4 linked regions of the Tamandua tetradactyla genome follow. The protein of the gene in region 1 purifies or fractionates together with the protein of each later gene. This does not show direct contact. Links are inferred from orthologs where the notes say so. Each region holds a gene or a part of one and is shown in the gene's direction. Other genes may lie near its edges.

Region 1 (7,094 bases):
TGCTGCTTAACCTGGCCTCTCCACCATCCCACTCAGATGCCATGTTCACTCCAGCTTTGATTCCTTACACCTTTTTGTTCCTTTACACTCACTTCTCTCCTCTCTCCCTATCCAAATGCTAAACACCTTTAACAAGATTTAGCTCACATGTCACTTCTTTCACACATTCGTCTCCATCAGCCAGTGCCCCATCTCTTAGTCATCTCAGGCCAGGCACTCTGCTTTGGCCACCTGGACCTCACCTAGTCCCACACAGAAGCCATGCTTTGCACATGCCTTTCCCACCACTCCTTAAGGGCTGCCCCTGCCCCCTCTTGCTCTAAATCCTCGTTCAGCTCTTGCTTTAGTCTAATTATAGCTATACTTTTAACTATTACTTGCAGAGGCACGATTGTGTGCCTGACATAAGAACAGTGCTGAAGAGGCAGCTCTGACTGGAACAGTCCATGCCCCTGTGCCCCTGGAACTTCTATTCTAGTAAAGAGAGAGAAACATCAAATAAGGAAACAAATAAGCAAACATGTAAAAACCACATGCTTCTGCTGGATCCTCCTCATGGTCCCAACCTCTACGTGCTGAACTGCTCTATTCACACTCACTCCCTGGGTGAATTAATCTAGTCTGAAAGCTTTAAACTCTATTTGCTTTAAAATGATGCAGGTCGGGGGCTGGGTGGGAACATAGGTGAAACCGGCTTGGCCTTAATGAGCTGATGATTATTGAAGCTTGATAATGAGCACATAAAGGTTCATTGTGTAAGTTTTCTACTTTTGTAAATACCTAAAATTTTCAATAAAGAAAGAAAAAAGGGGAAACAACTATAAAGGAACCAAAAATTGTTTAGAACACTATACAGTAAATTACTCTAAATTTCTATCTCCAACTAGGACTTCTCCCTTGAATTCCAAATTCATGTAGCTGACTCTTCTCCTGGATAGCTTCAACTGGATGTCTAATAGCCTTTTCAGACACAACTGTTCAGAACCAAACTCTTATTAAGGTACTCTCCCTGGAACCAAACCTATTCTTCTCTGGTATTCCTTGCCTCAGTAAAACTAAATATATAAATCATTCTTCCTGTTCCTTAGGTGTGCTTTCTTAAAAGTGTTGTATACCCCAGAAAAGCAATGTCCTTTAACACAGATTCAATATTGTAGGGCAGAAACTCTTTTGATTAGATTATCTCCATGGAGGTGTGGGGTGGCCAACTGTGGGTGTGGCCTTTAGGTTAGATGGAAATATGGCTCCACCCATTTTGGGTGGGTCTTGATTAGTTCACTGGAGTCCTTTAAAAGAGGAAACATTTTTGAGAAAGCATAGAACTGATGTAGATGCTTGGAGAATAGTTGCTTCAGAGCTGACAGAACCAAAAGACCCAGACATTTGCAGATACAGGGCCCAGCAGACATCACCATGTGCCTTCCCATGAGATGCTAAGCAAGCCAGAACCCAGAATTGTGTCCCAGAGGAGCTAAGTGAAGGCCCACAAAAACCAAGTGAGGAACTCCCAAAGGAACAGGCTGAAAGCAATAGAGCCCAGGAGCAAGGGACCAGCAGATGCCAGCCACGTGCCTTCCCAGCTGACAGAGGTGTTCCAGATGGCATCAACATTTCTTGAATAAAAGTAACCTCTTGTTGGCGCTTTAATTTGGACTTTTTCACAGTCTCAGAACTGTAAACACATAATAACTTCCCTTTTTAAAAGCCATTGCATTTCTGGTATAATCCATTCTGGCAGCTTTAACAAACTAATACATCAGGCAACAACTTTGGCATATTTCCTGAGCTCTGCTCTGGAAATACAAGCAGGTCAAACAACTTCTCACCATCTTTACTTCCACCCCAGCTCAAGCCACCACCAGGTCTTGCCTGAATCACTGCAATAGCCTGACTGCCTTTCTTATGTAGGAGCCAAAGTATATTTTTTAATAATACACAGACTTATTTTTTAATAATGTCAGATCACCCCCCCAAAGACTTCTCAACTTTCTCAGATAAAAATCCAAAGTCCTTACCATGCTCTCACTACCTTTCTGATCCATACTTCTCTTTGCTCTCTTCTCTGATTGCACTGATCCCTTTGCCCATTCCTGAACAGGGCATGACAATATCAGATTTTTCCTTTGTTCACTGCTGCATCCTCAAGAATTAGAACAGTACCTAGCACATAACTAGTGCTAAATAATAAATACAGTATTTGTTGAATGAATGTCTGAGTGAAATAAAATAGCTATGAATGACCTAGTGGCAGGGCCAGCTAATTTAATTAGGTATCTAGGGAAGACCTAAGGACCTGATGTTTCAGCTGAGCCCTAAATGACAAGGAGCCAGCCAAGCAAAGATCTGGGATCAGAAACATTCAGGTATGCTCCTTGTATCTACAGTATGGACAGATGAGTAAAAAATATGGTAAGATATATACAAATAATAGGGGGAACAAAAGTTAAAATAAATTGAATAGAATGAAATACTAGTGGTCAGTGAGAGGGAGGGGAAGGGGTACAGCATGTATGAGTTTTTCTTTTTTATTTCTTTTGCTGGAGAGATGCAAATGTTCAAAAAAATGATCATGGTGATGAACACACGAAAGATGATACTGTGAGCCAATGATTGTAACCATGTCAAGAATGTTTGTATGTTTGCTTGTTGTTTACAATAAAAATAAAAGAAACATTCAGGCAAGGGAAAGAGGGAATATAAACTCCTACAGAGAGAACAAGCTTGATTTACTGGAGGAACAAGAAGACAAAGTGGATGGAGCAGTGATGAGCAGGTAGAACAGGAAGGCCACAGTACAGAGTCCTCCACAGAAGTCATTGTGGGTTTTAGACAAACGATCACCACCGTCTGATTCTCATCTTAAGAACCTTCTGGCTGCTGTGTAGAATTTTAAGAAAGCAAGGAATCAAGTAGGCCAATCAAGTTACTACACTTATTAGGGTGAGAGAGGACACTTGCTCGGATTAAAAAGCCAGCAGTAGTGAGGAGTGCACCAATTCTGGATCTCCTTTGGAAGTAGAACCAGTGGGGTTTATGGATAATTGCTATGCAGGAAGTGAAGGAAAGAGGGCTCAAGAATGACTCCTACCTAGATGTTTGGATTGGGCAACAAGATGGACGGTGCCATTTACTGAAATGGGTAGGGAGAGTGAAATTTCAAATGACCAAGGAGAGACAGATAAACAGGTGGGGGCTCACCAAGGCCGGAGGTGTTCATATATAAGTATATGCTGCGAAATGAGATTTTTAAAAGCCGACTGCCTTGGGAGTTACCGGTAGCGATCACCTTGCCGAAAAATGACACGGATTCAAGTACAGGTCTCTGAGGAAATAGCACTCCCGATAAAGTTGCAATTTTTGCGACACCTGATGATAAGCTGATCTCGGACCAGTAAGGACAGCCTATTAAAAATGGACAAATACATTATACTAACCAATGGCTATCTGTTCTCTGCTTTGTAAGACCCTATGTAATGAAAAACTTAGCCGTCAACCAATCTTAACTTTCCATTTGAAATTCCCTAATCGTTTCTATAAGTCGCTGTGGCCTGCTCTCATTGGAGACTCACTCCTCCAGTTTGAGATCTCTCTGCTCCAGCAGTTTCTTTAAAAAAAATCTGCAAGTTCTGAATATAATGGTGACTTAGTTTCTCTTGACAACCCACAAGTACTGAAAACGAATTACTAAAACGGCCAACAAGCTCCTTCTAACGCGCGGAGGCGAAACGTACAACAACCGAGGTGCTCCGAGCAGGCGGGCCTCCCCTATCACAGTGGGCGGCACGTGGGGCCCGCCTTCCGCCCGGGCAACCCCGCGTAGCCTGACCCAACCTCTCCGCACAGCTTCCCGCGTAGGCGAAAACCGGGAAGCGGTAGTACGTCGAGCACATACCCGCCAGTCCGGAGCCTTGCCGAGGTATGGGCTCACTGAACAGTCTCCGCTTAGCAATTGTCGCTGCTCACGGCCTTCAAGCCTTACAGCCCCAGCCGCGAGTTGACGTAGGGAAAAACGCTCACGACGTAACTTGGCCACGGAAATCTCAGTGGCCGTTAGCGCAAGGGCCGCCGGGAAAACCACCGAGAGGATCCAGGGCTGGGGAAAGAGCGTCCCGCCCAGACCTCCGCCTCCCGTCCATTCCTGCCCCGCCCCAGGCCGCTCGCAGCCGGCGAGCTGTACCTGAATGAAGCAGCTGCGCTTTCTGCGTGGCCCCGGAAGGACAGAGAGCGAAAGGCAGGAGAAGAAAGCAGCCGCGAGGCGAAGGAAAGTCGAGCAGAAGAGGGGGCTGTTGCGTGCCGTGCAGACACCTGCGGCCCTCCTGCAGCCGAGTCTGCTAGCCCACCCGGCCGACCTTCATCCTTGCGCTTCCGGGAGCCGTCGCCAGCGAGTGCGCCTGCGCGCCGGCGGATCCGCGCGCCTGCCTGCTGTGGTCGCGCCGGCTGAGTGTCCGACGGTTCCTACCGCACCTCCTGCCCGGCGTCTCGCCTCGGAAGCGCACCGACGTGCGGCATGTCGCGACGGCGGCACAGCGACGAAAACGACGGTGAGTGCCCTCGACCCGGCCCTGGCTGCCGCGCCCTAGCTTCGGCTTCCTTGGCCTTCGGGTCTCGAGGGAAGGAATGGAGAGCCCTTCTCCCCTGGTAGAGTTCGTACAGCCGCGGAGCCTAGGAGGCTGGCAGAGCGGGGGTGTGGCCAGGTGGGTTCCAGAAAGCGACTGCTGCCCGCAGCCCTCGCGCCTTTAGCCCGTGATTAGAGCCCGTGATTAGAGACCTCCTGGTCTCTAAAGACGCTTCAGGGGTTGGTCCTGGCTCTGCCGAGCAGGAAGTAGACCCGTGTCTGTGTCCTTACCTCTTAGATGGGCAGTGGCAGGGACACAGTGTCTCATTTTAACCTTCTAAGTTGGCCTTCAAAGTAACCTGAAAAGGCCTCTAAGGGAAACTTAATTGAAGAAAAGAAACAAAGCACTGACTCAAAGAGCTGATGAATTGCAGCCTACTCTGCTCCTGTACCTACCATCATCCATTGATTCAACTTTGTTCAAACTTTCAGAAAAGGAATCTTGTGTCTTCTCTCCGCTCAAGAGGTCACTAGTAAACAGACCCATGCTGTTTTATTAGGTTGTGAACTGGCCTTAGGCGTTTTCCATCATGTAATTAAGAGTGCTGGAAAACTAACTGGAGATCTTTTTGAAATTTAGATCAGGGGTTCCATTTCCATTGGGTGCTGTGCTCACAGAGATACTAAGAACTAAGACTTTTTCTAGTAAAAAAAGTAGAAAAAGATACTCACATTTCACATAAGCATTACAAAAATCAGTCATGAACACAGATCCAGTCAAAAAAACACCTGTGCTTAAATCTGTTTTAATATTTTAGTGAATCATTTATTAAATTGTAGAGTAATGGGTAAGAGACCAAACTTTGGAATCAGAGAGCTGATGGTTTCAAAGCTAGACCCCATTATTTATTTTGTGGTCTTATCCAGGTTATCTAATTTCTTTAAACTGTAATCTATAAAGTAAAAATAATGATAATCTGTTTTGGGTTTTGTGAGGGTTGAGTAATGCTTGACAGTGATGTTTATTTTATAGTCTGTTTAATGCTGAAGAGGTCATAAATAGTGGCACGTGCCAACAATGTAAGAAAAATGCAAAACAAAAATTTTAACTTTTTGATAATCTTAATTTTAATGATAATTCTCCATTATTGTTTTCTCTCCTTGAATGTTGAGCATTTGTGGATGAGGACAGACTCACTTGTACCTAGTTTTAGCAGTGAAACACCAGATTTCTGCTAGGGCATGGCTTGAGAGGTTATTCACAATCCATCTGACACCACAGGGTGCAGAGACTGAGTGTAATGAACTAACATGGAGACAAAGTAATCAGTGCCCAGACACCAGAGAAGACAAGCCCAGAACTCTTCACTACACAGGCACTGCTGTGTGGTATACTTTAACAAGTGACTGCTAACGTGTACGTACAGAGCATGGAAAATACAGTCTTTGTGTATTATGGATTTGACTAATCAAAAACTAATATGTTTGAAGTCATCTCTTGGGATTTAGAGAACTTGAGTCTATTGTTCTTCTCATGTTCCTTGCTCTTCTTGTGCTTTCTTTTCTCCACTCTTTCTTCTCTCTCTCCTTTCTAGGGCATCCAGAAAGGGAGGGGGGATGGTCCCAGAAGGCAACCCAGAGGAATGGAATGCAAATATTTAGAAAAATAACTTGTTTCTGATTATTGGAAAGCTTTCATAACTTTCTGTGGGATTTTGAACGTCAGCTGGCAGCATGGCAGCAATGATGTAGCTCATCATTGTCCATGTGGGTCTTGCTGCTGGAGTATCAGTACGCAAGTAAAGACAAAGAGAAGTAGAATAAGAAATTGATGAAGCGAAGTCCACAATGGTGGATGCTTTAGTAATAGAGGGACAGTTTATAGTTCTTTGAAATATATGAAATCTAGAACTTTTGTAAATTGCCGCACTATAGGTAGTGGTCAGTTGGAGTTTACCCTAAAATGGATCTGAATCAGAATGTTTCCCTTTTAGTTAAACTTCTACTTATTTTTTAAAATAACATGAAAGCTTAAATATTATAGGAGGCTATTTTAAAATCAGAATTAATACCGTTAGGATTAAATGGATACTTCAAGCCCTTCTGCATTATTGTTCTCGCTTATGTCAGCAATTGCCCTGACTTTCCGTATACTTGGATGCAGTCATTTACTTGACCAATATGTAATAGTGTCAGCCACTGTCCAGAATAATTGTCAAATAATTGGCAGTACTGCAAGAGACAATTTAAAGATGGAGTCTCCATTCTAGTATAGAGAGATAGGCAGAAAGCAATCAATCAAGTAAAATGCAGTGTATTGTATGGTGGTCAGTGCTGTGGAGAAAAATAAAATCAGTAAATGGGCTAGAGACAGGACCGAAGGAGAGGAGTTAATATTTTATGTAGCTGTTCAGGGAAGGCCATCTGATACTAGCATCTGATTGTGAGCCTGCAGGAGGTAGGCAGGAAAATTACATGGATTCTGGGGAAGAGCAGTGGTTCAGGCAGAGGGAACCTAAGTGTAAAGGCTCAAGGCCAG
Region 2 (7,761 bases), on another chromosome or scaffold:
TCTATGGTGTATGCCAGAATATCATTAGTTATTATCTCTGGGTCGTGGATTTTATGGGTGATTTTATTTTGTTCTTTTTGTTATTAGTTTTTTTTTTATATCAAACATGTATTTCTGAAACTGTATTTTTTTAAAAGTTTGTCAGGTACAAAGTTTTTAAAAGTTAACCAATCAGAATGGAAATTAAACAGCCCAAGAGAGGATCTTTCTCATTTAAATGACTACCTACCCTTCATGCAAGAGCAGATTTAGGAATTAAGGTAGGCAGGGCCAAACTTTGCATTAGAAGGTAATTAATATGCTCCAAAATAGAGATAAGTAAATGCTAAAGACTCCAAGGTTCTGTAACAGTACTGCCCAATAGAAATATAATGCAAGCCATATATGCAGTTTTACATTTTCTAGTAGCCACATTTAAAAAAAACACAAAAATCTGATAAAACTAATTTTAATAATATATTTAACAATAAAAATATGATCATCTCAGTGCATCATTAATATTAAACAATTATTAATGAGCTACTTTGCATTCTTTTTTTCATACTAAGTCTTTGAAATCTAGTGTGTATTTTAGGCTTTGGTACACTTCAATTTAGGCTAGCCATATTTTAAGTGCTCGATATTGGCCATCATTTTAAACAATGTGGTTCTATATCATAGAGAATTACTGTAGCCTATACAATTTGTAAAGCAGGATTTAAAAACAAGGATGAAATACCAAGGAGTCAAATATTTATGTTGTCTAGTGAGAAAACTGTTCCCTTCTGGATAGAACTCAATATACTCTGACCTGCTTTTTTTTTTTTTTTTTTTTTCCATATGGGCAAGCACCAGGCATCGAACCCAGGTCTCCAGTTTGGCAGATGAGAACTCTGCCACTGAGCCACTGTGGCCCACCCATGACCCAGTTTTTTATTGTGAAATATACTATACATAGAGAAAAAAAGGAATAATTTTCAAAGTACTTTTTAACAAGTAATTACAGAACAGATTACAAAGTTTGGTATGGATTACCATTCCACATTTTTGGGTTTTTCCTTCTAGCTGCTCCAAAATACTGCAAGCTAAAAGAAATACCATTATAATGATTCAGCAGTCATTCTCATTTGTTAAATACTGTCTTCCTGTTATAACTCCTCCTTCCACTTGATCCTCTTCCCAATCTATAGGGGTCTTTGGGCTATGCCCATTCTAACTTTTTCATGTTGAAAAGGGGTGTCAACACTATAGAATAAGGGGATGGAATTAGTTGGTATTCTTGGAGAGGCTGGCCCCTCTGGGTTTCAGGACTTATCTGGCCTAGGAACCCTCTGGAGGTTACAGGTTTCAGGAATGTAAACTTAGTACATGAAACTTTTGTAGAGTCTCAGATAGAGCCCTAGGTGTTCTTTAGAGTTGCAGGAATGATGTTTGAGCGGGTATGGCAAGCCATTGTAATTAGCAATACTTAGCTAAAGCTTGCATAAGAGTAGCCTCCAGAATAGCCACTGACTCTATCTGAGCTCTCTTAGCCACTGATACCTTATTTCGTTACATTTATTTCTTTCCCCCTTTTAGTCCAGAAGGCATTGTTCATCCCTCCACGCCAGGGCCAGGGTCAACTCTGGGAATCATGTCCCCCGTTTTCTGAACCAATTTTACAGTTTAAATTCTCAACTCCACAGAATACGTTAATGGAAGATTAATACATTACCACCACCACCACCCCACCCCTTTTCTAAGAAAGCAATGGAGTTTCAGGTTTTCCAAAACTTCATAGCCATCTATGTATAAGTTATTACTTAAGGAGAACTATACTCATAATGGGTAAATCTCACACCCCTGTTATATATAACTTAAAAAAAAATTCATCCCCAGATGAAAACTTATCTCTGATGTTTTCTATTTATTAACAGGCAGGATGTTACATAAATCCTTCATTACTGAGGATTATTTATTCAATTAGAATTTATTAGTAATGGGAATACAAATATAATTAAGATGGTGTTCCTGCCTTCTAAACAGTCTGATAGGGAAGAATCTTTCTTTACAAGTCACCACTCAAATTTTTAAATGTGAATATTTGTTTGTAAAAGTCATCATGCTTACTTGGAAGTTGGAGTGACTTTTATACTTTAAATAAAAATAATGACTGTGGAAAGATCATCGAACACAGAAAACTGTAAAGAAAATCAGTCATAATCCTACTACCCAGAGAAAACCACTATTAACATTTTGGCATATTTCTTTCCTGTCTTTTATCTGCGCTTCTATTTTATGATCATACTGTACATACATTTTGTATATGGCAATTCTGCTTACCAATATATTGCAAGAATTTTTCCTTGTCATTAAAAACGTTTTGAAGGCATATCTAATATAAAATTATATTGAATGTGTACAGTAGTTTTCATGTAAGTCCACACTTGGACGTTTACATTTTTTCACTGTGATGAACATTTTCACTCACAAATGTTACTTCTTTAGAACAGATTATAAGAATTACTGGGTTAAGAGTCTCAACACTTAAAAAACTGGGTACATATTGCTAATGTACCTTTTTATTTCTATGGAGTTTTTCAGAAAATCATACTTTATATACAATTTTACATTTTACCACTTTGGCCTAACAAAAATATTTTTTGTATGTTATCACACACTGTGTGTAAATCTTTTAATAGGTAGATAATAATCTTTGATTAGATATAATCATGGTTTACTTAAACGTTGTCTGTTACTGGAATTTAGTCGTTTTCCAATTTTCAGTATTACATATAATGTGATTTTTGCATATTAAAGTAAACCATAGAGTAGTTATGATTTGAGCTTAGAAAGTTGGCCTTGAATTCCTTGCTCACTCCTAAATAGCTTCATGATTGGACAAGATACTTTTCTTTAAAGCTTCTTCTCTAAAAAAAAAAAAGAGTATAGTTTTGGAAGCATCTACTTGACAGGGTTGTTTTAAAATTCAATGAGATAATATATTAAGAAGCCTAATGTGATGCCTGTTAACAAAATGAAATGCTGAACAAAAACAGGATTCAAAAGCATTTAAAAAAAAAAAAAAACCACCACACTTCCTATGGTTGGCTTGATTACTTAAGTCAGGCACCAATAAACGCCCAGGTCTTGATTAGATTTAAGTCAGGCACCAATAAGCGCCCAGGTCTTGATTAGATTAAGTTCAATATAAAAGACCTTTCTTTCAGCAAAATTGCAGTGGTTTAGAGCCTGTCTTCGGTGCTCAACTTCAGTTCTCTTAGATCGCCGATGGATGACGAAGTAATTTTAAGCACTTTAAGCAACTGTGATTATGCCTCAAGTCCTCCAGATCCTGAGGTAAGGATTCGCGAGAAATAGCGGGGGTGAACGGAAGGGTGGGGTGTACTGAGAAGCTTTTAGATTTCGTTCGCTAATAGGGCTATCCTCCTCTCCCAGTCCTCCCTACCGACCACCACCCCGCACATCTCATGGGGCTTGTTTAATGTTTTGGGGGGTTCATGTGAATCCAACTCTCAAACGGTGGCTTGGTCCTACTATCAAAACATCTCTTTCAAACTTAGCACTGAGCACCTTACTCACTGCTGAAATGTAGCCACCCTGCCTTCAGGGCTGGTGTCCTGGTGTCGTTGGTCACTGGGGGCGCAGCAGTAAGGTGATACTTTGCCTGGAGAACTTCTGGAGTCTGAAGGAGGGCTTGGGGTCAGGAAAGCGCTGAAGATTCAGGGTCGCACCCAGACTCCAAATAATGCATCCTTCGGTCGATAAATATTTATTGGACTTCATATTGTGCTATTTATGGTAATAGGTGGTGGACAAACGAATATAAATAGGATCTAGCCCCTCATCTCCAGGAGCTCACAACATAAAAAACGCAAAGGGACCTAACACGTAGTGGAGGTAGGCCCCCTTGCCGTGGGAGAAGAGAAGCAGGGGAAGGCGTCCTAGTAGAGGTGATGCTAGGATTTGCTGTGGGTTTGGAGACAAGACTGTACAGAGGAACACACCTGGGTGCAGGTACACCCACGGAACAAAGAGTGAAATAACCGGGTTCTGAGGGTCTCCAAGTTCGCGGTAAGGAGTAGAGACTACCTGGCCAGCTCGGTCTGAAAGTGGTACGGGTTATAGGTATGACACCGGAAGCCGAAAGACCCGTTTGCGGCTGACACAAACCGTCCAGGCAAGAGAAGAAACAAGATAAAACCAGGGTCGTGAGTTTAGAAAGGAGGCCTAACCAGGAGGCAGAACTCTCAGGTCTTGTGACAGGTGAATGGTAATGCCAATAATCTGAATGGGAAAAGTCAGCTCTCTCCTGGACTGTTCCATTCAGAAACCGCCACTTTCAGCAATCTCCCAACTACTGGTACTTCCTGGATAGGACACTAATTTCCAGAAGCCGCCGCTGTGTTTCCGGCCTCTGCCTTCCAACAGCTCGTTTGGCAACCAATAGAATAAAGATGGCGTCTCCCTAAGAGACTAGGTCATGTGACATCGCTTTTCCCTGGCTTAAGGCTGGCAGTCCGTTTGGGGTCAAGGTTCACCTAGTAGATAGCTGGTGTCAGCCCTTCGAATTTCACAAGCCAATGACATCTGAAACCAGGACACCGCGGGGGGCGATGGGCAGATTGGTTCGTTCCACCTCTCCTAGCTAGGGGCCAATCACAGAGCGCCGTACACTCCGCGGGCCCTCCGGTGGGCGGGGGAGAAGCAGGAAGGTCGTCACAGCGTAGTGGTATTGTTACCTAAGGACTTGAGAGGAGGTGGGATGTATGTTGATTGACAGACGGATTTCTCCTACCGGAATTAGAGAATTTGGCGCAGTGCTCCGCCTTAGAGGTGGGGTCTTATTTGATTGCCAAGTAATATTCCCCAATGGACTCCTAGCTCGTGGTGACGGGCAGGCCGCTTAACTAATGAATTCTCGGCGTGGCCGGCGCAGCTCTCCAATCGCCGGGCGGCGGGCCCCAGTCTGAGCGGCGATGGCGGCGGCGGCGGCGGCGGCAGCAGCAGCGGTGGCTGCGGGCGGTCGGGGCTCCGGGCCGGGGCGGCGGCGCCATCTTGTGCCCGGGGCCGGTGGGGAGGCCGGGGAGGGGGCCCCGGGGGGCGCAGGGGACTACGGGAACGGCCTGGAGTCGGAGGAACTGGAGCCTGGGGAGCTGCTGCTGGAGCCCGAGCCAGAGCCCGAGCCCGAAGAGGAGCCGCCCCGGCCCCGCGCCCCCCCGGGAGCTCCGGGCCCTGGGCCTGGCTCGGGAGCCCCCGGCAGCCAGGAGGAGGAGGAGGAGCCGGGACTGGTCGAGGGTGACCCGGGGGACGGCGCCATTGAGGACCCGGTGAGGGAAGGAGGGCGAGAGACCGAACCGGCGACCGGCCGGCCGGGTCATGGGAGGCCCAGAGCTCGGGCGAGTGGGAGGCAGGCGGGGGATGGGGGTGGGGGTGGGCGGGGAATAATGTAGCTGGGGCCGGACCGGGGAAGGCTCCTTCACCACCGGAGGGGCCCGTCGGGGTTGATTTCGGGCGTCATGGGTGCTTAGTGTTGTTCTAGAGAAGGTAGCTTGCTTATCTTTTCATCACGACCCCGCGTGGGAAGAGGGAAATGGCGAGCAGGACTGGGGCTGAGCGCTTACCGAGAAAAGGGTTTAGCATCCTGCATTGGTTCCTCTTAAGCTGTTCATACCCCTCCCTACTTATTGTAGGAGCTGGAAGCGATCAAAGCTCGTGTCAGAGAGATGGAGGAAGAAGCTGAGAAGCTGAAGGAGCTGCAGAACGAGGTAGAGAAGCAGATGAATATGAGTCCACCTCCAGGCAATGGTGAGTAACTGGTGGCTGCACGCGGAGCCCGCGTCCTCGGGTTGAAAAGATGTGTGGAGTACGTATGGCATTAGATGCTGCGGGTCTTGGAGCTCGTTTCTGAGCAGTTGATGGGCAGAGGCCGCGGTTATTGCTAATTTATGTGTTCCTCTGACCTTTGTGAAACAGATCCTATGTTTGGTTGATGGTAGTCTTGTGCTTTTCTTTGTCTTTGTTATAAATATGTTGCCCTTTGTTCTTAGTCTATCTTTATTCTTTGTGAAGGTTGCCAGCTGGCATTTGACCTTCAAGTCAAGGGGTTCTTCCTTCACTTGGGGACCCTTTAGTTAGTAGACGTTCTAAACGATTTCTGCTTAGCTGCAGGGGTCTTCCCCTTTGTAATCTAGAAATGTAGACTCTCATCTTAATTTCTTTAACTCCTTTTCAATAGGGACTTGATGTATAGGGGTGGTGGTGGTGGGGAATTCTTGTTCTCTCTGATTTTTAATAATGTATTTATTATTAGTCACATTTTTAGTGGCCACCCACTATGTTTTTGGCCCTGTTCTGGGTAATGGGTACAGCAGGAAACAGAACAAACTCAAATCTTTGCCTTCACTGAGCTTATATTCTAATAGTGATAGAGGGTCAGAGGATAATAGATTGGTAGAGTAGAAAAGAAGTGTGTTTTCTAATTGTCTTTTTTCAAAGCTGGCCCAGTGATCATGTCCATTGAAGAGAAGATGGAGGCTGATGCTCGTTCCATTTATGTTGGCAATGTATGTAGTAGGGCCCTGATTGTAGTTGGGGGAAGCTCTAATTTGTGGGAGTTACTTAATGGAAGTCTTTTGAAAAGAACATCTCCAGGATAGGAGTGGGAGGAAGTAAAAATTAATGATCAGCAAGGCCTCTGGGGTTGAGAGAAAAGGGGATTAGTTCCTTAGAGAAACAGATTTGATGTGCCTCGCTGTAAATGTATGGCCCCAACCAGAAGGTGAGGCAGTATGCTGAGATGGGAGTTGGAGTTTGCCCAGTTCCTGTGAAACATTGTCTCTCTCCTGTCCCCCTCAGGTGGACTATGGTGCGACAGCAGAAGAGCTGGAAGCACACTTTCATGGCTGTGGTTCAGTCAACCGTGTTACTATACTTTGTGACAAATTCAGTGGCCATCCCAAAGGGTAAGTAGGGAAGTAAATTGAGATCATTTTAATCATAGTTTAAAAATAAATATTGAACAATAAGTCACTTGCTGTTAAAACCTAGGGGTCTTTGTCCTAAATGTAAACACATTGAGTCCAAATAAAGTACATCAGCAAGTTGAATTTGACGTACAAGTTGCTGTTTGCAGCTTCAGAGAGCTAAAGTGACAATAACCTTTTCAGGTTTGCGTATATAGAGTTCTCAGACAAAGAGTCAGTGAGGACCTCCCTGGCCTTAGATGAGTCCCTTTTTAGAGGAAGACAAATCAAGGTAAGCACCATGCATAATGCTGTTCAGGTTGCGGAAACTTGGCACGTTGTCTGACCTGGGCTTTTTGTGGTACATCCCACAACGACAGGTGATCCCCAAACGAACCAACAGACCAGGCATCAGCACAACAGACCGGGGTTTCCCCAGAGCCCGCTACCGTGCCCGGACCACCAACTACAACAGTTCCCGTTCTCGGTTCTACAGTGGTTTCAACAGCAGGCCCCGGGGTCGTGTCTACAGGTCAGGATAGATGGGCTGCTCCTCTCTCCCCGCCTCCCATGAGCCCTGTATGCTTCCGTCTCTCATGATAGGAGGAGCTTCCCTCCCTTCCCCTCCCGTTGGTCTCCAGGGCCTTGGTCTCCTGCCTATGCAGAGTGAGGAAGGTAGTTGAAGGGAAGGCCAGTCTCGTCTTTTCTGGAGCAGGAATTGTGGTATTAAGGGCTGGATCTCTCCACTCTGTTGCGAGAGATGCTTTCTCCCCCTAGACTTTTCTGGTTTTTTTGAAAGTGGGTAGAATGAGGGGCT
Region 3 (7,911 bases), about 190 Mb from region 1:
ATTGGGCTTCCCTTGTACGTGATGGATTGCTTTTCTCTTGCTGCTTTCAAGATTCTCTCTTTCTCTTTGACCTCTGACATTCTGATTAGTTAATGTCTTGGAGTACGTCTATTTGGATCTATTCTCTTTGGGGTACGCTGCACTTCTTGGATCTGTAATTTTAAGTCTTTCATAAGAGTTGGGAAATTTTCAGTGATAATTTCCTCCATTAGTTTTTCTCCTCTTTTTCTCTTCTCTTCTCCTTCTGGGACACCCACAACACATATATTCATGTGCTTCATATTGTCTTTCAATTCCCTGAGTCCCTCCTCATATTTTTCCATTTTTTCCCTATATTTTCTTTTTCTTGCCGGATTTCAGATGTTCCAGCCTCCAGTTCACTAATCCTATGTTCTGTCTCTTGAAATCTACCATTGTAAGTTTCCATTGTTTTTTTCATCTCTTCTACTGTGTCTTCCATTCCCATAAGGTCTGTGATTTGTTTTTTCAGACTTTAGATTTCTTCTTTTTGTTCATTCCTTGCCTTCTTTATATCCTCCCTCAATTCATTGATTTGATTTTTGATGAGGTTTTCCATGTCTGTTCGAACATTCTGAATTAATTGTTTCAACTCCTGTATCTCATTTGAATTGTTGGTTTGTTCCTTTGACTGGGCCATGTCTTCAATTCTCCGAGTGTGATTCGTTATTTTTTTCTGCCTTCTAGGCATTTAATTACCTTAATTAGTTTATTCTGGAGATTGCTTTACTTCTTTTACCTAGGGTTTCTTGCTAGATGAATTTGTTGTCTGTCTGTTCTTTGACATTCAGTTCAGCTTTATCTGGACTTCTAGCTTAAGTTTTGTTTAGCAGAGGAGAATTTTTCAGTTCTTGTTTTCTTGTTTCTTGCCTTGCTTGTATGGTGCCTTTTTCCCGCCACACTTAGGAGGGTCTACATAGGTATTATAGACCCCAGCCAGATTTTCCCAGACCAAACTGGCCTCCTATCAGGAGAAAAGAGTCACCTGCATTGGTTTTCCCTGAGGGTAAGACCCAGCAGGTTGAAAGACTTTCCTGTGAAGTCTCTGGGCTCTGTTTTTCTTATCCTGCCCAGTATGTGGTGCTTGTGTTCCTGCAGGTCCCACCAGCATAACATGATGTGGTACCTTTAACTTTGACAAACTCTCCCTGCTGGGGGTGTGGTGGAGACAGAGGAGAGGTTGTAGGCTGGTTTTAATGGCTTCAAATTACCAAGCCCTGGTGTATGAATTCCTTGATGGAGGGATTCCACCTGGGTGGGGCTTCACCCCTCCCCTGGGGAAGGCACAAACTCCAGAAGCCCCCCAAAAGAGCTCACTTCTGCCTATGCCTGGGGCAGTTGCAGCCTGAGGAGCACTGGCACTGTATCCAAAGGCGGTCAAGCCTTTGTAGAAACACAGCCACAAAAACCTCTGTTTCTTTCTTTTTTTTTTCCTTTTTCTGTCAGCCCTGCCCCCTTGGTGCCGGGGCTAAAATGAGTGACCTCCACTTTGACCAGGTTCACCTGAGTTGGGGACCTATTTTTAGTAGTCAGAATTTGTTAATTAGTGCCACAATTGGTGTTTGATTGGGCTCAGCCACTGCTGCTGGTAAAGTCTCTTTTCTTTCCCTCTGGGAAGCAGCCTGTGGGGGTGGGGCGCCGGCTGCTGCAGCTTGAGGAACTCACAGTTCTGGGGGGGCTTGCAGCCAGTCCAGCTGGTCCACACTGGGGTACGCTGTGTGTCCGGTCACTGACATGGCCCCAGGAGCTGTTCTGTGCTGTTTCTGGTTATTTAATAGTTGTTCTGGAGGACAAACTAAAATGCGCATATTGTTAAGCTGCCATCTTGGCCCAGAAGTTCTCACTACCAAATAAGTTTTTACTGAGAGAAGAAACCAAGAAAGGGAGAAGATTTGATAGGAGCCCTCACCTTCCACACAGAGAATGAGGAATCAACTATGTAGGGGCCAAATGTCCCATTCCAAGCCATTCTCTGCATCCACTTATATAACTTTCTGAGGCTCTAACCCCCTCCAGAGTTCTTCTAGGAATAGACTTGAGAGGAACTTCCTAGGAGAATAAGCATTATGACTGTTGTAATAACATTCACTATTTCAATTAATACCAATTCAGGAAACTGTTCTTGGTGCCTTCCATGGGCCAGGCACTGCTAGGTACCGGGAAAGATGTGGAGAAGATGCTGAAATGAGTAAGATATGAATCATCCCAGTCCTCTGGAGTACACAGGTCAGTGCGTACCACACCATAGAGACAAGCATGTGCACAATAGCTATAATAATAGTAATAATTTTTATTATTAAAAACTTATTATGTGTCTGGCACTATTCTAACACCTTCACATATATGATCTAAGTTCATTCTCACAGTATCTCCAAGAGCCAGATATTATGATTATTCCTGTTGGACAGAGGAGGAAACTGAAGCATAGAGAGGTTAAGGAAGTTACCCCAGTCACATGATTAAATAGTGAAGCCAATATTCATATAAGGACAATCTGACTCCAATGTCTGTGGCTCTATGAAAAATGTTAATAATTAAGGAAAAACTTTGAAAAAGATTAATCTCTATTCTACTCTGCCATTCTCTGACTCAGAAAATATGACCTCCTCTTTCCTCATCCCCTATAGCCACATGAATAGTTCTACCCGTTTTTCTTAAGAGGAGCTTAAGATATCCGAACTGCTCTCACAGAATCATGTACTGCTTGGAATGTCCTCTTTGCCATTCAGTAAAACCTCTTCATTCATCCAAGTATGTCAGTGTCACTGAGGAGTTGAAGAGGAGCAGGTTTTCTGGGAAAGACTTGGAGATGGGAACTCAAAAAGCCATTCTCAAAACTGTGAGCTGGGGCCAAGGGAGCGGTGGCTGGATTCAGCACCGCGGACAGAGCTCCAGGAACCCTCAGGACCCTGGACAGAGAAGCTGGTTGCGTTTGCCCGGGAAACCGAATATCACTTCAGAATGAACCAAACGAAGCAAGAGTGCTGAAATATTGTTCGCTCTTTTCTTTAGCCAGACCTCAGTCACCTGCTATAGAATCTTAGGAACAGAGGTACAGGGAGTGAATATATTTAAGGGTGTCACTAGGACTCGGATGAGGGTTATGTAAATAAACATGGTTTTTGGCCGACGTTTGGAGAACTCTTGGGAAATTTAAATTAGGGTCCTTATTTGGGAATGGGCCGTTGATAATATTTGCTAATGATATATATATATTTTTAGGCAGCGTAGCTAAGGTGTACAATTGTCCTTTTTCTCTCCCAAAGTCCCATCCCCCATCTTTACACTAAAGGTTTAGTCTCTTGAAAAAGGCTCCTTGTAGGAATCAGAGAAATTCTCTCTCCACACCCCCTTGCCCTCCTCTCCATCCACCCCACTCCCACCTATCTCCCTTCTCCAGAATACATGCGTTCACTCGCGCTCACACACACACACACACACACACACACACGCACAGGGTGCAGGTGAGAAACATGAGAGATTCTCCACATTTGTTGGAGAAGATTGAATTCAGAGCAAACGGATGTCCCCGAATGCAGGCTCTGTCCCTTTAAATGGTTGTAGCAGTGGGGGAGGGGAAGTGGCCAGAGCTGGCATTGTCCAGTTTGAACTGAGCACCGGAAGTGAAGGGGCAGGGCCAGGGCTGTACTCTGAGCCCCGGGCCATTGTCCACCTCTGACTGGGGCATTAGCCACCCCCCAGCAGACCCTCTTTTATTTCCTAGAAGGGGAGGTTACCTCTTCAGATTAGGAGACTACTACTCCAGTTTCTCCATCAATTCCACTACGGAGATGGGAATACACTTGAGTATGGTGACTCTGAAACGGGAGGGTATGGGAACCTAAGAGTGAGAGTACAGGAGGAAGTGCTTCCATCCACCTACCCACCCAGTCCCTCTCCCAGAAAAGGCTGGGGCTGGGGGAGGGGAGGACAGGATGAAAAGGCAGTTAGAGGAGAGAGAAGCACACTTCAAGCCTCTTTGGGGTCCTCCTGCTCTTGCATAGAGTGCTATTTGGGGCCAACTTTAGACATTTTGGAAGGAAGGGAAAAAGGGATGATTCTTTATGTTGAATCAATTAGGAGCACCTTCTCCCTTCTATTAGGGAGAGATTGAGAAAAAGTCTTGAGTGGAAAACTCAGGGAGAGAGACACATTCAATTTCTGTCAGAGACAGAGAGATTTTGAGAGTAAGGACTGAAGATCAACTCTGCCCAGTCTCCAATCTCCCCCTGCTCCTCCTCCCCAGGCTTCCCAGTGTCCCAAACTCCAGGTCTATCTAAGCACACGGGGGTGGGGGATGAGAGCGGGTCATCGCCAAGCAGCCGGGTCAGCTCAGAGGCCTGAGGGGAGAAGAGAGGGGGAGGGGCATTCAGTGGCTGGGGGAGGGGGAGGGCTCATCCATTTCTCCCTTGACAGGTGGTTTGTGTTTCTGATTGGCCAGTGCTGCCAGGCTCACACCTCCCTCCCCCAACTCTCTGGAATGTATAATTATCTGCGTAGGGGGTGGGGGTGGTATGTGAGTGTGTGTGGGAGCAGTCACGTGGTTTTAAAAGTACCCCCCCCAGATCCCCCACCTGTATGCTGCTTTGGGGACCCCCAATGAGGCTTTAAAGTGCACAACTACAAATTGAGGGGTACCCAAGACTTCTTGGGCAAGACGGCCCCCATTTCCAGATATGTGTATGGGAAGGGGGGTGTCAAACCTCTAGGTTCTGAACAGGGACACCCCAGAGATGTCAGAGACCAGAGCGGTGGGGGGAGGGACGGAGCTGCTCGGAGCCAGAGGGAAAGGGAGGGGAAAGAAGAGGAGGGGAGGGGAAGGGGTTGCCCGCGGGGGGTTGGGTCATTGTCTTTTAGAATTTGGGAGCCTTTGAAAAGCCGTGGGCCCTCCCACCGCTATTGTGCCGGGGAAGATGTAGCTGCCTCTTCTCCGAACCACCCCTTTGCCTCCGGACTTCTCTGGGGCCAGCAGCCGCCCGACCAGGGGCCCGGGGCCGCGGGCTCAGGCGACGACCATGGGCTCCGTGTCCAACCAGCAGTTTGCAGGTTCGAGCTTGGGACTTAGCGGGAACAGCTTAGGCTGCGGGGGTGCCCAGGAGCCACCTAGAAGGAAGATGGGGAAGTGTCCCTCCAGGCTGCCCGAAGGACTCCCAAGTCCGCGCGGCCTTCTGCTTCAAGGGCCATGAATAGAGCTAGGACCCTGGTGTCCCAGCGGCTTGCTCGCCAGTGCTGTGCGGGCGTGGGAGGAAGAGAGGAGGGGACTGTCCAGCCGTCTGTCCAAGGGCAACGTGTTGTGAGAAGAGGAGCAAAACTTTCGGGGCACCACGGGTCTCGGTATAGGTTTGGGGAGCGCTTGGAGGCGGCCGGGACAGGTCTTGGTAGCTTGGTAGCTGCAGGCTCCTGATGTCCACCCGTAGGTTGGGCATTTGGGTCTCCCTGCCGGGTCTCTGTGGGCGCCCTCCGATTCCGAGCTCCCCAACTGAGGGCCGGTCTCCTTCCCCATCTCCAGGTGGCTGCACCAAGGCGGCCGAGGAGGCCCCGGAGAACGCGGCCGGGGAGGCGGAGGAGCCGCAGCTGCTGCAGGGGGCCGGCATCTGTAAGTGGTTCAACGTGCGCATGGGGTTCGGTTTCCTGTCGATGACCGCCCGCGCCGGGGTCGCGCTCGACCCCCCAGTGGACGTCTTTGTGCATCAGGTGAGACTCAGTCTGGTAACTTCGCCGGGGGCGCTGAAGTGGGGGTCCTATATTTCTGGGTGGATGGGCGAACTCCGCACTTGGATTGAGGGAGACCCAAGTTTCTTCGTTGCGGACCCTCATCTTTGCCGTGGCACCCCACTTCTGAGTCCCTGATAACGCCACCGGGGCCGGGTGGGGAGCAGCGGCAAGTATGAGCTCCCCTCGCGTCCTTCCGGGAACCCCTCCAGCTCACCACGTGTCTGTTACCTCTTTCCCCTGGGAAGGGGGCAGGGAAGTGACCCCATGTGGCAGAAAGTAAGGTTGTATTGTGCTTGCTGGCGGGGGGAGGGCGAGGGGACTCGCCAGGGAAGCAAGCACATGCTGGGCGGAAACCAGGAACTCGGCGCCCAGAGCCTTTCAGTAACGACTGAATGGAACTGGGAGGGCCAGAGGGAGAGGAGGAAACCTATTCCCATACCCAGCTGGCTGGGGTTGAGAAGGCAGGTCCCTGTTTGATGCACCCCATCCATAGGTGTTCACTCAGAACTCAAGCCCTGGGTCAGGGTGGGCTTGGCAGATCACTGAAGGATCCACTTAGGAGCTTGCAAGGTCATAAGGCGGGTTTCACTCACACTCTTCAGGGACTGGCAGCTTTCCTGTAGAGTTCCTACCAGGAAGGAAAACCTAAGAAGACCTGGATTCTTGGCCCAGGCTGAGAGCTGGGTTGCAACCCCAAGTGCTCAGTTAACGCAGTAGAATGGGACGCGGTCGGGGTGGAATTCAGTGTCTCAGGGCAGAGGTTGGAGGGAGGCTGGCCTCGGGACCTAGTCTCTGCTTGGTGTTTATGGCCCTAGACAGCCGCTGATTGCTGTCCTAAAATTCCTGGCTTCCAACAAGGAGCCAGAGGCTTCAGGGTCCCCCTCCTCCTTCCTGGACTCCTTTCCTCTCACCCCTTCCAGGATATCGCAGCATTTCCGGTGGTCCTGGGACACTAGCCACCCATAATAACCATGGAAAGGAAGTGGTTGCCTGAGTCTCTTCCACTCTGGGAGGTGTGGGAATGGACCTGGAAGATTTCTAATCCCAGGCCCTGAAGGTTGACACAGGCCGGGCAGAGAGGGGTTACTGCAGGGAGGCTGGCCCGAGGAGCTGTGGGGGAGGGGAAAGGAGGATGTGGGGATTAAGGGTTGGGGCCTGAGGGAGGGTATCCTGGAGGGGGAAGGGCAGGGAAGGGCGATGCAGGGTGGACTGGTAGTTGGAGACAGGGAAGTCCTCAAGCTTGTCCCGCAGCAAGGAAGTTGAGGATGAATGGGGTACCAGGGGAGGAGGATGTAGGGAATTGGGGACCCATCGGTTGACATTGGGACTGTGGGCCATCTGCCAATATGGCCTACTGCAGGATGCTTGCCTTCCCCCCCACCCCACTTCAGACATCTAGCTTGAAGCTGGTGGCTTTGCCCCCCTCCCTCATTTACATATGTGAATGATAACCCACAGGAAGTAATTGTGGGAGAAAGAAGGGAATTGGCCTCTTTAGATCCATTAAATCACTTTATTACAGGAACCAGCTTTGAATGGCCCTCCTCAGCGGGGTGTCCAGCCTCCCCCACTCTCTCCTTTGATCACAGAGATTAAAATCTCTCCTGGTCTAGAGACTGACTGGACAGCTTCCCCAATTTTGGGAGGCTGGAATAAGAGTCAGACCCAACATTTTCTAGTCTCCTAAATAGGGCGGGGTTGAAGGAAAGGTGTGCCCTTGTGTTTTGGGGTTCCTTAGTGATATAAAAATCCCGAGGAAGGTTTTCCTGGGCAGGTGGGGATCTGCCTCCATAGACTTAACCTTAGGATAGAATAATCGGAAACTTCTCAGATGGCATCATTTGTGGAGGGAAGCAGGGACCTTCAGGCTGTTTCAGATTGGCTAATAGATATTTTGGACAGTCCAGGATCCGTTTTTGCCTTTAAAAAAGGAGTAAGAGTAGATCCCAACAGTTTGTCTGAAAAGGAGAGGGTACAGTTGGGATCAGGTACTTTTCTCCCTAACCCGCACACCCTCACCTCCCAACTGCAGTCAGAGAAGACAATAATATGCGGAACTGCTCTGAGCCTTATCTGGCAGCACTGCCTTTATGACACATGCTGCTGGGGCTGGAGTAGGTCCTAAAACCGCACCTCAGTGGAATCAGCCCTAGTGATTCCAGTCCCTGTACTTGAGAA
Region 4 (7,553 bases), on another chromosome or scaffold:
GGCCTGAGGACATCAGCCTTCGCGCCGACTGGGGTGTCCCTTGCCCCCTCTTCACCCTCCCAAGGAGTCTGGAGTGGAGGGGTCTTCCCTCAGTGCTTTCTGTAAAGTCCCCTTGGGGCAGTCCCAAAGGCCTGGGCCTCCAAGTTTCTGGGCTCATGTGGGCAAGTGAGGCAGCTGGTCCCCAGGGGCCTCTTGCACCCAGGGTGCGCTGACAAAGGCATAGCAAGTACAAGTAGGGCACATATAAGCAGAGATCGGGGGCAGGGCCCTAAGGGGATGGGCGCCAGGGACATAGAGCTATACTCCCTGGCCCCAGAGGGCCATGCTCCCTGGGCCTCCTACTCCTGTAACATGCAGCCACTGCCTGACCCCTCCTGAGCCCCTGCACCCAGAAACCTCTAGCCCTGCTCCTCTCTCCAATGTGGTGACTCACTATGTATATTCATGAGGTTTCATGTCAACACAGAGGCCACAGCCACTCTGAGAAGGCAGGGATCCGGGGCCTCCAGCAAGGCTCAGGAGTTTAATGAGTTTTATTTATTGGATAAGTGTCAACACTGTTATGAAAAAAACAACTGCAGTTCCAGTCCTCATTTCAACCCTGACACAGCCCAAGGGAATTGTCCCCAGTGGAGACTGTTGCCATCCAGCCTCACAGTAAGGAGAATCTCAGAATTCCATCACAGAGCTCAGGGGCAGTCCCCGTGCAAGGCTGAGGGGGTAGTCCAGGCACAGGGCTGGGGGAGTCCTGGCGTAAGGCTGGTAGCTGGCACTCACTCCTTGAACTTCCACTCCTGGCGGCACATAGGGCAGTGCTGCTGCACCTGCTGGGCGTTGAGCCACTTGAGGATGCAGTGCATGTGGAAGCAGTGCGAGCACTGGCCCCACACCAGTGGACAGTCGTCACCGGGCACCTTACCTGTGGAGAGCACAGCATCAGGGAACCTGGCCACAGGGCATCCTCCCTACCTAGCCACATCAGGGCCAGGCAGGTCACAGGTGCACGACAAGCAGGTGTCAGGTACACCCAGGGTTGCCAGAGCAAACTGGGCTTAGAGAAGACAGAGATCAGGAGTGTTCTCCACCAAGGTCTGAAACTAACGAGAGGTGCAAGAGACGAGCCCCTATCTCCAGGAAAGGGCCACTCAGCGGTGGTAGGAGAGAGCACTCCAGCCTGGCCTGCCACTACTGCAGCCCCTGGAGGAGGTGAGTGTTCTCTGACTCCCAGACCTGCGGCACATGTGATGTCACAGGAGGCCATGCCAATGCATGAAGACAGCAGGTGGGCGCAGCTGAGCAGTGAACTGTGCTGGGCCAGGTAGGGAAGGAGGGGCTTTGGAGCTGAAAGATCCGCTCCCTAGGCAGCAGGGATCCAAGGCACCAGAAGGGGCTGGGGTGAACATGGCCCTACCCTCCTTCTCTTTTCCGAGTCTCCGGGAGGCCCCCTGAAAGGCTTGGGGTGAATGCTGTGGTGCTCGTCCCACACGCTGACCCATCACTCTCTCCCTCCCTGGCAAGATTACAGGGGGCAGGGGACCCTGTACCAGGATCTCACATTTCCTGGCCCCAGGGGGCCTTTCAACCTTCCCAGAAAAGAAGACTTGATGTGGCCTCTTTCCAGTTAGTTTTCCCTGGGACAGAGGGAGCTGCTACCTGGGGAGGAGGTAGGGCCACTCTGTCTACCTATGGGGGGCGGTTCATCTACATGGAAGAGCCGCTTCATCTGAGTAACACAGCCACTTGCCTCGGATACTTGGTGAATAACTGAACACAAGGATGACTCACACAGCACTAGTTTAGCTTGGGCGTCAAAGGAGGTCTTTTATAAACCGGAACACCTCTGGGCAGGACTGTGTACTCCCAAGGCCCTCTGCGGTGGGGGCAAGTCTCCTACCCCTTAGTCACTCTGGGTTTATAACAGGAGCTCGATGCTGGCAAGAGGAATTGCTGCCACTTTTCACATACAGGAGTCCCCTTAGACTTGTCATGGCACAAATTGAGACCCTGTGTCCATCATCCTCCATAGCCAATGGGCCCCATTTGCAAACTACTGGGCCCACGCAAAGGTAGAGCCACTGTAGTTCTCAGAACAGCGCCCTGTCTGGATGTGCAGGGCACAGGAGCAGCCAGCTGGGGTTCAGGATGGGCCTGCAGGCTCTATACAGGTGACTGCCACCACTGTGTTTGGGGCACAGGCTGCCCAGGCCTGCTGGAGCTTGCACCAGTACCAGCACAATCCACACCCTCGGGCACCACCAGCACATTTATGAAAGCTAAGCAGCCTACTGCCTTGGAAGTTCTAAGCTCTTGCCTCTTAAACTTCCAGAATCTTTGCTGTACCCTCTGAAGGGCAATTTAAGAAAGTTTAAATATAGCTAGACCACTTTCAGTTTAGTTGTTAGACGTTTGCTGTGATGTAGACTCAATCATCTCTTGATTGATGTAATCATTTGATGTAAATAAGATGTAGTGATAAGATCTCCCTTCAGCTAGGGCAGATAGGATCAAAGATAGGATAAAGTGATATTTGTACTAAATTCATTCATCTGACTGTCATTTTAAGAAGTAAAGCTCTATGATGTTTCTGGGCTCTTGATCGGCCCCAGAACAGGTTTGGTCACTGGTGGGGCAGTGAGGAGGGACTGCCAGCCCTATACACTCCTTTTTCCTTTCAGGGTCCTTGTCCTCCCTGGCCAAAGCCCTGAGCCTTGTTTCTGCTTGCTGTTCCTTTTGATCTGACTAGCATGTAAATTTGCTGGTGTGAAAATCTGCTCTTGCCCTAAACCTAATCAAATATTTTCTCTTTACAGAATTTAATGGAACAAACCAAAAGACATTACAAAGAAAAATCCAATAAAGTAGATTCTGCAAGCAACATGCCCTGTTTTTAAGTTTAAATGAATTGAAGAATGGTGTGGGGTTGAGAAAGGATTGCTCTACATTTATACTTGAAAATACTTCAGCAAAGATGTTAAAAGACACTTCATCTTATGAGTGATTTTTCTATAAACTTACAACTTCTCTAATAAAAAAAGCCAACAAACCACATACCTACAAATGGCAAGTTTTATAATATAAGTTAAAACTCAATAAATCTGACTTTAAAATAGAAATAAAGGCTATTCATTGTTAATTCCCTGGCGTGGGTGGGAGGGGGAGGGGATAAGGGGGTGTTCCTTATGCTATTTTACCTTTTTTGCTAGTTTGTTTGAAATTTTCAAACTAAAAAGTCTTAGATCTGTTTTTGTCTTGTGTGTCTCATTGCTGAGTTTGATTACAATAAAATGCTGCACTGGCTTTTCTTATAAAACTTTTTTGCCTCGATCTTTATAAAAACATGGGCCCAAACTGCTTGCCTTTTTTTCCTGTCACCTTTTCTTCAGGAAAACAAAATTAAAACCCAGGGATTTTACCCAGGTACTTTCAGGAAACGACAATGTCAGGCAAGTAGGCTCAAACAGCACTGCCAAGAGGGAGGCACTCACAGTCGGGACAGCAGCCGTTGAAGGCCATCCGGCAGATGCCGCAGTTCTCGTCATTGGCCACCCAGAGCCAAGTGGCCACGCCGTTCCAGCACTTGATCTTCACCTTCATGGCTGTGATGGGAAGAGGGTTACCTTGGTGAATCCGGTCTACAGAGCTAGAACACTAAGGCTCCCAGGGCGTGCTTCTCCCAGCCAAGAGGGCCCGCGCTGCAGGGGAGCAGCCACCGGCCAAGGCCAAGGGGAGCGGAGTGCCTGGCTTTGCACCCGGGGTTTCTTAAAGGTTCCTTTAGCCGTGTCTTTAGGGGCCCAGAGGGAAAGAAAGCCCTGAAAAGGGGCCTCAGCTCGCGCTGGCAAGGAGGGCATCAGACTTGGGACCACGGCTTTGGAGAGTTTGGCTTTGCCTCGCGTTTACGGTAACTACGGAGACCTGGACATTCACGAAAGGGCTGCTGCTTTCCTTAACGCCCTGTAAACAGGTCACACGACACTTCCAAAAAGGACACAACTAACAAACAAATGACCGTGGCTAACTTGGGGGATGGAGCCCCAAACCGCGCACGCTGTGAGATTTTTAACTCTCGAAAAGGCACAAACAGACGCATGAGTCTGTACCCCCGACCCCCATACCTGCCCGGGGCAACCGCTAGGCCCTGAAAGACGAATCGCTGGAGACGGTCGGCCGGGCGGTCCCGTGAGAAACGGCGGGGAAACAAGCCGCGGTGCCCGCCGGGCATCCGGCTCAGGACGCGACCGAGAGCGCGGAGAGCTCGGGGGCGTCCCAGGGGCCCCGCCCCCAGCCCGAGGGACGGGCACGTCAGGCCCCGCCCCCAACGGCCCCCGCCCAACCCAGGACGCCCTCGCCCCTTCCCTAACCTAATCCTACGCAACGCGGCCCCGCCCGTCGGCCGTTGTGGCGCCAGCGTCCGCGCGGGAAGGTATAAAAACGACAGCAGCCGCAGCCCAGCACCAGTCGGGCTGAGGTCGCCGAGCTGTGCGCCTCGCTGCGCACGCGCCTCCCCGCCTCGCGCGACTAGCCGCTCGCCGTCAGCCAATCGACAGCGGCTCCGGGGCCGCGACTCCGGAAGTCCCCGCGCGGCGAAGGAAGTGACGCCCCGGCGTGCTGACGCGCGCGCTCGAACCGAGGCCCGATTCCGCGCCCGCCATGGCCGACAAAATGGATATGTCTCTGGACGACATCATTAAGCTGAACCGGAGCCAGCGAGGCGGCCGCGGCGGGGGCCGGGGCCGCGGTCGGGCCGGCTCCCAGGGCGGCCGCGGCGGCGGAGCGCAGGCCGCCGCGCGCGTGAATCGAGGCGGCGGGTCCATCCGGAACCGGCCGGCCATCGCCCGCGGCGCAGCTGGCGGCGGCGGCAGGAACCGGCCGGCGCCCTACAGCAGGGTGAGTGGACGCGAAGGCCACTGGGGTTGCGGGGCGCGGAGTGCGCTGAGGCCCGGCCCGGCAGGCCGCGGGAGCGCCGAGTGGAGAGGGCTGGCCCCGAGGCCTGGCAGCTGGTCCCGAAGCCGGCGGGTGTGGTAGACGCCGGGGAGGTCGCGCGGCCTGGGGTTGGCCCCGGGAGGCTCAGACCTTCTCAGCCTCTTTGTCTCATCCGGGCGCTGCAACCTCATGGCGGCTGGGAGCGGAGGGAACGCTGGGCGCGGCCGCACCGGCGGCGGGAAGTTAGTTGAAGGGAACCTGAGAAGTTGCGCGGAAGCGGCGGGACCGTCGGGGTCTCGGGCCGGGGCAGGGAGGGAAGGGCCAGAGGCCCCTTCTCGGCGATTTCTCCCAGGGCCCGGTTGAGGAAGGGAGCAGGATCTTGGGATGAGCCCTGAGGGCAAGGAAAAGCCCTAGAGTGAGACTCACCGGTCTTTTTCTGTTCTATGGGGTTTTCTCTTTCAGCCAAAACAGCTTCCCGATAAGTGGCAACACGATCTGTTCGACAGCGGCTTTGGAGGAGGTGCCGGCGTGGAGACCGGTGGGAAACTGCTGGTGTCAAATCTGGATTTTGGAGTATCAGACGCTGATATTCAGGTAAGAAACGGAAGCGTCTCCGTGAGTAGTTCACCTTGCACAGAACTAATCGTGTTTGTCATGGGCCCTGAATCCTGTTCCCGCCTTAGGAAAGGAAGCCCTCCCAGCTGCCCCAGAAATAGCCACTGCTTCCGTGTAAGGGGCTGCAGGAGAGACCCTGCCCAGCAGTGGTCAGGAAAAGTTGAAAGTTGAATAAGTGAATCAGTGTTTGTTAGAAGATAAGACCTTAGTGTATTAGTTTTTGCAAAAACGTGTTTTTGGTGTCTGAAAATCCCCTGCAGAGCTTTCTACTTCTGGCTGCTTGCTTTCCTTGTTTTGTTGCTGTTTTAATGATCTATTGGGAGAAGAATCCACACACACACACACACACACACACACACGTTTTAACTAACAAAGTACAGAAGTAGGGTCTTAGTGGTTTTTCAGCTCTGTTGGCCTTGAGGCTTTCTATCAAGTATGACTTGTGGCCCAGTGGTACCACCCCCACCCCGTCCCCTGCCGCTCCCCCCAGGTTTTGTCAGTGGTTTGGTTCTAAGCTCATCTTTGGTTGAAGACTGGTTTTTGTTTTTGTTTTTTGTTTTTTATTGAACCTAAAGGAATTTAAACTTGTTTTTCTGGTAAAGAAACAGTTTCTTGGGGATCAGTCTTGGAGATGGCTGGGTCAGGGTGCTGGGCCTTCCTGGGTTGCATCTCCCAGAGCATGGCCATTGGGCTTTGCCGTGGGAGGACGGAGCAAGGCCGGTGAGCACTCACAGTGTCTCAACACTTTTTTTAAGGTGGTTTCTGGCAGCCACTGGAAACCGCTTTTGGTGACTCCACTTCCCGCTGTGTGCCTGCGGCCGGAGTAGCCCCACACTCTGGGTTCCCTCTCCAACTCCCAGCCTGCCTGAGGTCAGGGCAGTTTCCATGGCAGCGCTTGACTTCAGACTTTGCGGCAGGCTTGAGTAGGAGGAGAGGGAAAGGTGAGCCAGAATCTGCCTTCGGGGGAGGGACTGGGGTTAGGGCTCCCAAATCAAGGGGCCCTTCAAGCTGTCCTGGAATGTTGGGCAGCTTCCCTTGCTGTGTGATCTAGGCCTTCGCTGTTTCTTGGAACAGTTCTTGGGAGAGTTGTAAATTTTCTTTTGTCAAAAAGGAGAGCGGCTTAATTTTGTGCCCTTCACTTGTGGGTTCCTGCAACTTCCTTTCCCTGCATCGAGTTATAGATTTCAAGTCCCTCAGTTGGCAGGAGCCCTCAGACCCAGGTGCTTTGGAAGTTGCTGTCCTACCCACCCCATCCCTTCCCCCAGTTCCCACTGCCCTGCCCCTGTGTACATGGCTGCCTCCCAGGGAAACACCCCCAAAGCAGATTTCACTTCCAGGGACCATCCCTGGGACACTAAAGGGAAACAGCTCTGCTTACGAGTCTGCTCTTTCCAATTCCCAGGAACTCTTTGCTGAATTTGGAACTCTGAAAAAGGCTGCTGTGCACTACGACCGATCTGGCCGGAGTTTAGGAACAGCAGATGTGCACTTTGAACGGAAGGCTGACGCTCTGAAGGCTATGAAACAATACAACGGTGTCCCTTTAGATGGTGAGTTTGGGTTTGGACCAGTATGGCTGCAGGGTTGTACACGAAGGGTAGAGTTTGGGGGTGGCACTTGTCCACGCAGGGATATGGCTGAGCTCTGTGGCCAGGGACGCTTTGCATTTGCCCCTTTGTCTCTTCCATTCTACTGCCTTGCATGCTGTCCCTTACATCTGGACATCCGGAAGTTCTGGGAAGCCTTCTCAGAACTGCCATAGTAAACTTCTGAATGCAGGTTGTAGTCTAGAGACAGAGGTACCATTTTCCTCGTCAGAACCCTCTTCCTCCCACCTAGACTGGGCTGAGAGCAAAGAGGAGGCCTTGGGGGGGTTGTTTTTATTGCCTTTTTGTTCCCCTACCAGTATTTCCAGGTCATTCCCTTGTTGGAAGTGTTTGACACAGCACAAGAACCCTTTGCAGTGCTTGCATGAAGACCAGGTAGGGCACCCTCAGATTAGGCATGACCTCTATCTG

What was found.
Region 2: the proteins of NCBP1 (region 1) and PABPN1 purify together in Homo sapiens (co-immunoprecipitation; 3 studies listed by BioGRID and IntAct, with this or other methods). This does not show direct contact. The link is inferred for Tamandua tetradactyla from reciprocal best matches to the Homo sapiens genes NCBP1 and PABPN1.
Region 3: the proteins of NCBP1 (region 1) and LIN28A purify together in Homo sapiens (affinity purification with mass spectrometry; 3 studies listed by BioGRID and IntAct, with this or other methods). This does not show direct contact. The link is inferred for Tamandua tetradactyla from reciprocal best matches to the Homo sapiens genes NCBP1 and LIN28A.
Region 4: the proteins of NCBP1 (region 1) and ALYREF purify together in Homo sapiens (affinity purification with western blotting; 6 studies listed by BioGRID and IntAct, with this or other methods). This does not show direct contact. The link is inferred for Tamandua tetradactyla from reciprocal best matches to the Homo sapiens genes NCBP1 and ALYREF.

Annotation. Positions count from the first base shown.
Region 1 is NC_135328.1:14,734,388-14,741,481, forward strand, and holds the start of NCBP1 (nuclear cap-binding protein subunit 1), read left to right. Parts: upstream 1-4,083; 5' UTR 4,084-4,507; coding exon 4,508-4,541; intron 4,542-7,094. UniProt on the Homo sapiens protein: Component of the cap-binding complex (CBC), which binds cotranscriptionally to the 5'-cap of pre-mRNAs and is involved in various processes such as pre-mRNA splicing, translation regulation, nonsense-mediated mRNA decay, RNA-mediated gene silencing (RNAi) by microRNAs (miRNAs) and mRNA export.
Region 2 is NC_135340.1:31,562,657-31,570,417, reverse strand, and holds the start of PABPN1 (polyadenylate-binding protein 2), read left to right. Parts: upstream 1-4,745; 5' UTR 4,746-4,958; coding exon 4,959-5,309; intron 5,310-5,420; exon of another isoform or gene 5,421-5,526; intron 5,527-5,672; coding exon 5,673-5,787; intron 5,788-6,477; coding exon 6,478-6,545; intron 6,546-6,837; coding exon 6,838-6,944; intron 6,945-7,148; coding exon 7,149-7,236; intron 7,237-7,324; coding exon 7,325-7,476; intron 7,477-7,761.
Region 3 is NC_135328.1:199,796,791-199,804,701, reverse strand, and holds the start of LIN28A (protein lin-28 homolog A), read left to right. Parts: upstream 1-4,901; 5' UTR 4,902-5,033; coding exon 5,034-5,064; intron 5,065-5,527; coding exon 5,528-5,712; intron 5,713-7,911. UniProt on the Homo sapiens protein: RNA-binding protein that inhibits processing of pre-let-7 miRNAs and regulates translation of mRNAs that control developmental timing, pluripotency and metabolism.
Region 4 is NC_135332.1:74,075,169-74,082,721, reverse strand, and holds the start of ALYREF (THO complex subunit 4), read left to right. Parts: upstream 1-4,548; 5' UTR 4,549-4,647; coding exon 4,648-4,884; intron 4,885-5,382; coding exon 5,383-5,514; intron 5,515-6,937; coding exon 6,938-7,085; intron 7,086-7,553. Other genes in the region: ANAPC11 (anaphase-promoting complex subunit 11), read right to left, coding at 774-919, 3,486-3,594. UniProt on the Homo sapiens protein: Functions as an mRNA export adapter; component of the transcription/export (TREX) complex which is thought to couple mRNA transcription, processing and nuclear export, and specifically associates with spliced mRNA and not with unspliced pre-mRNA.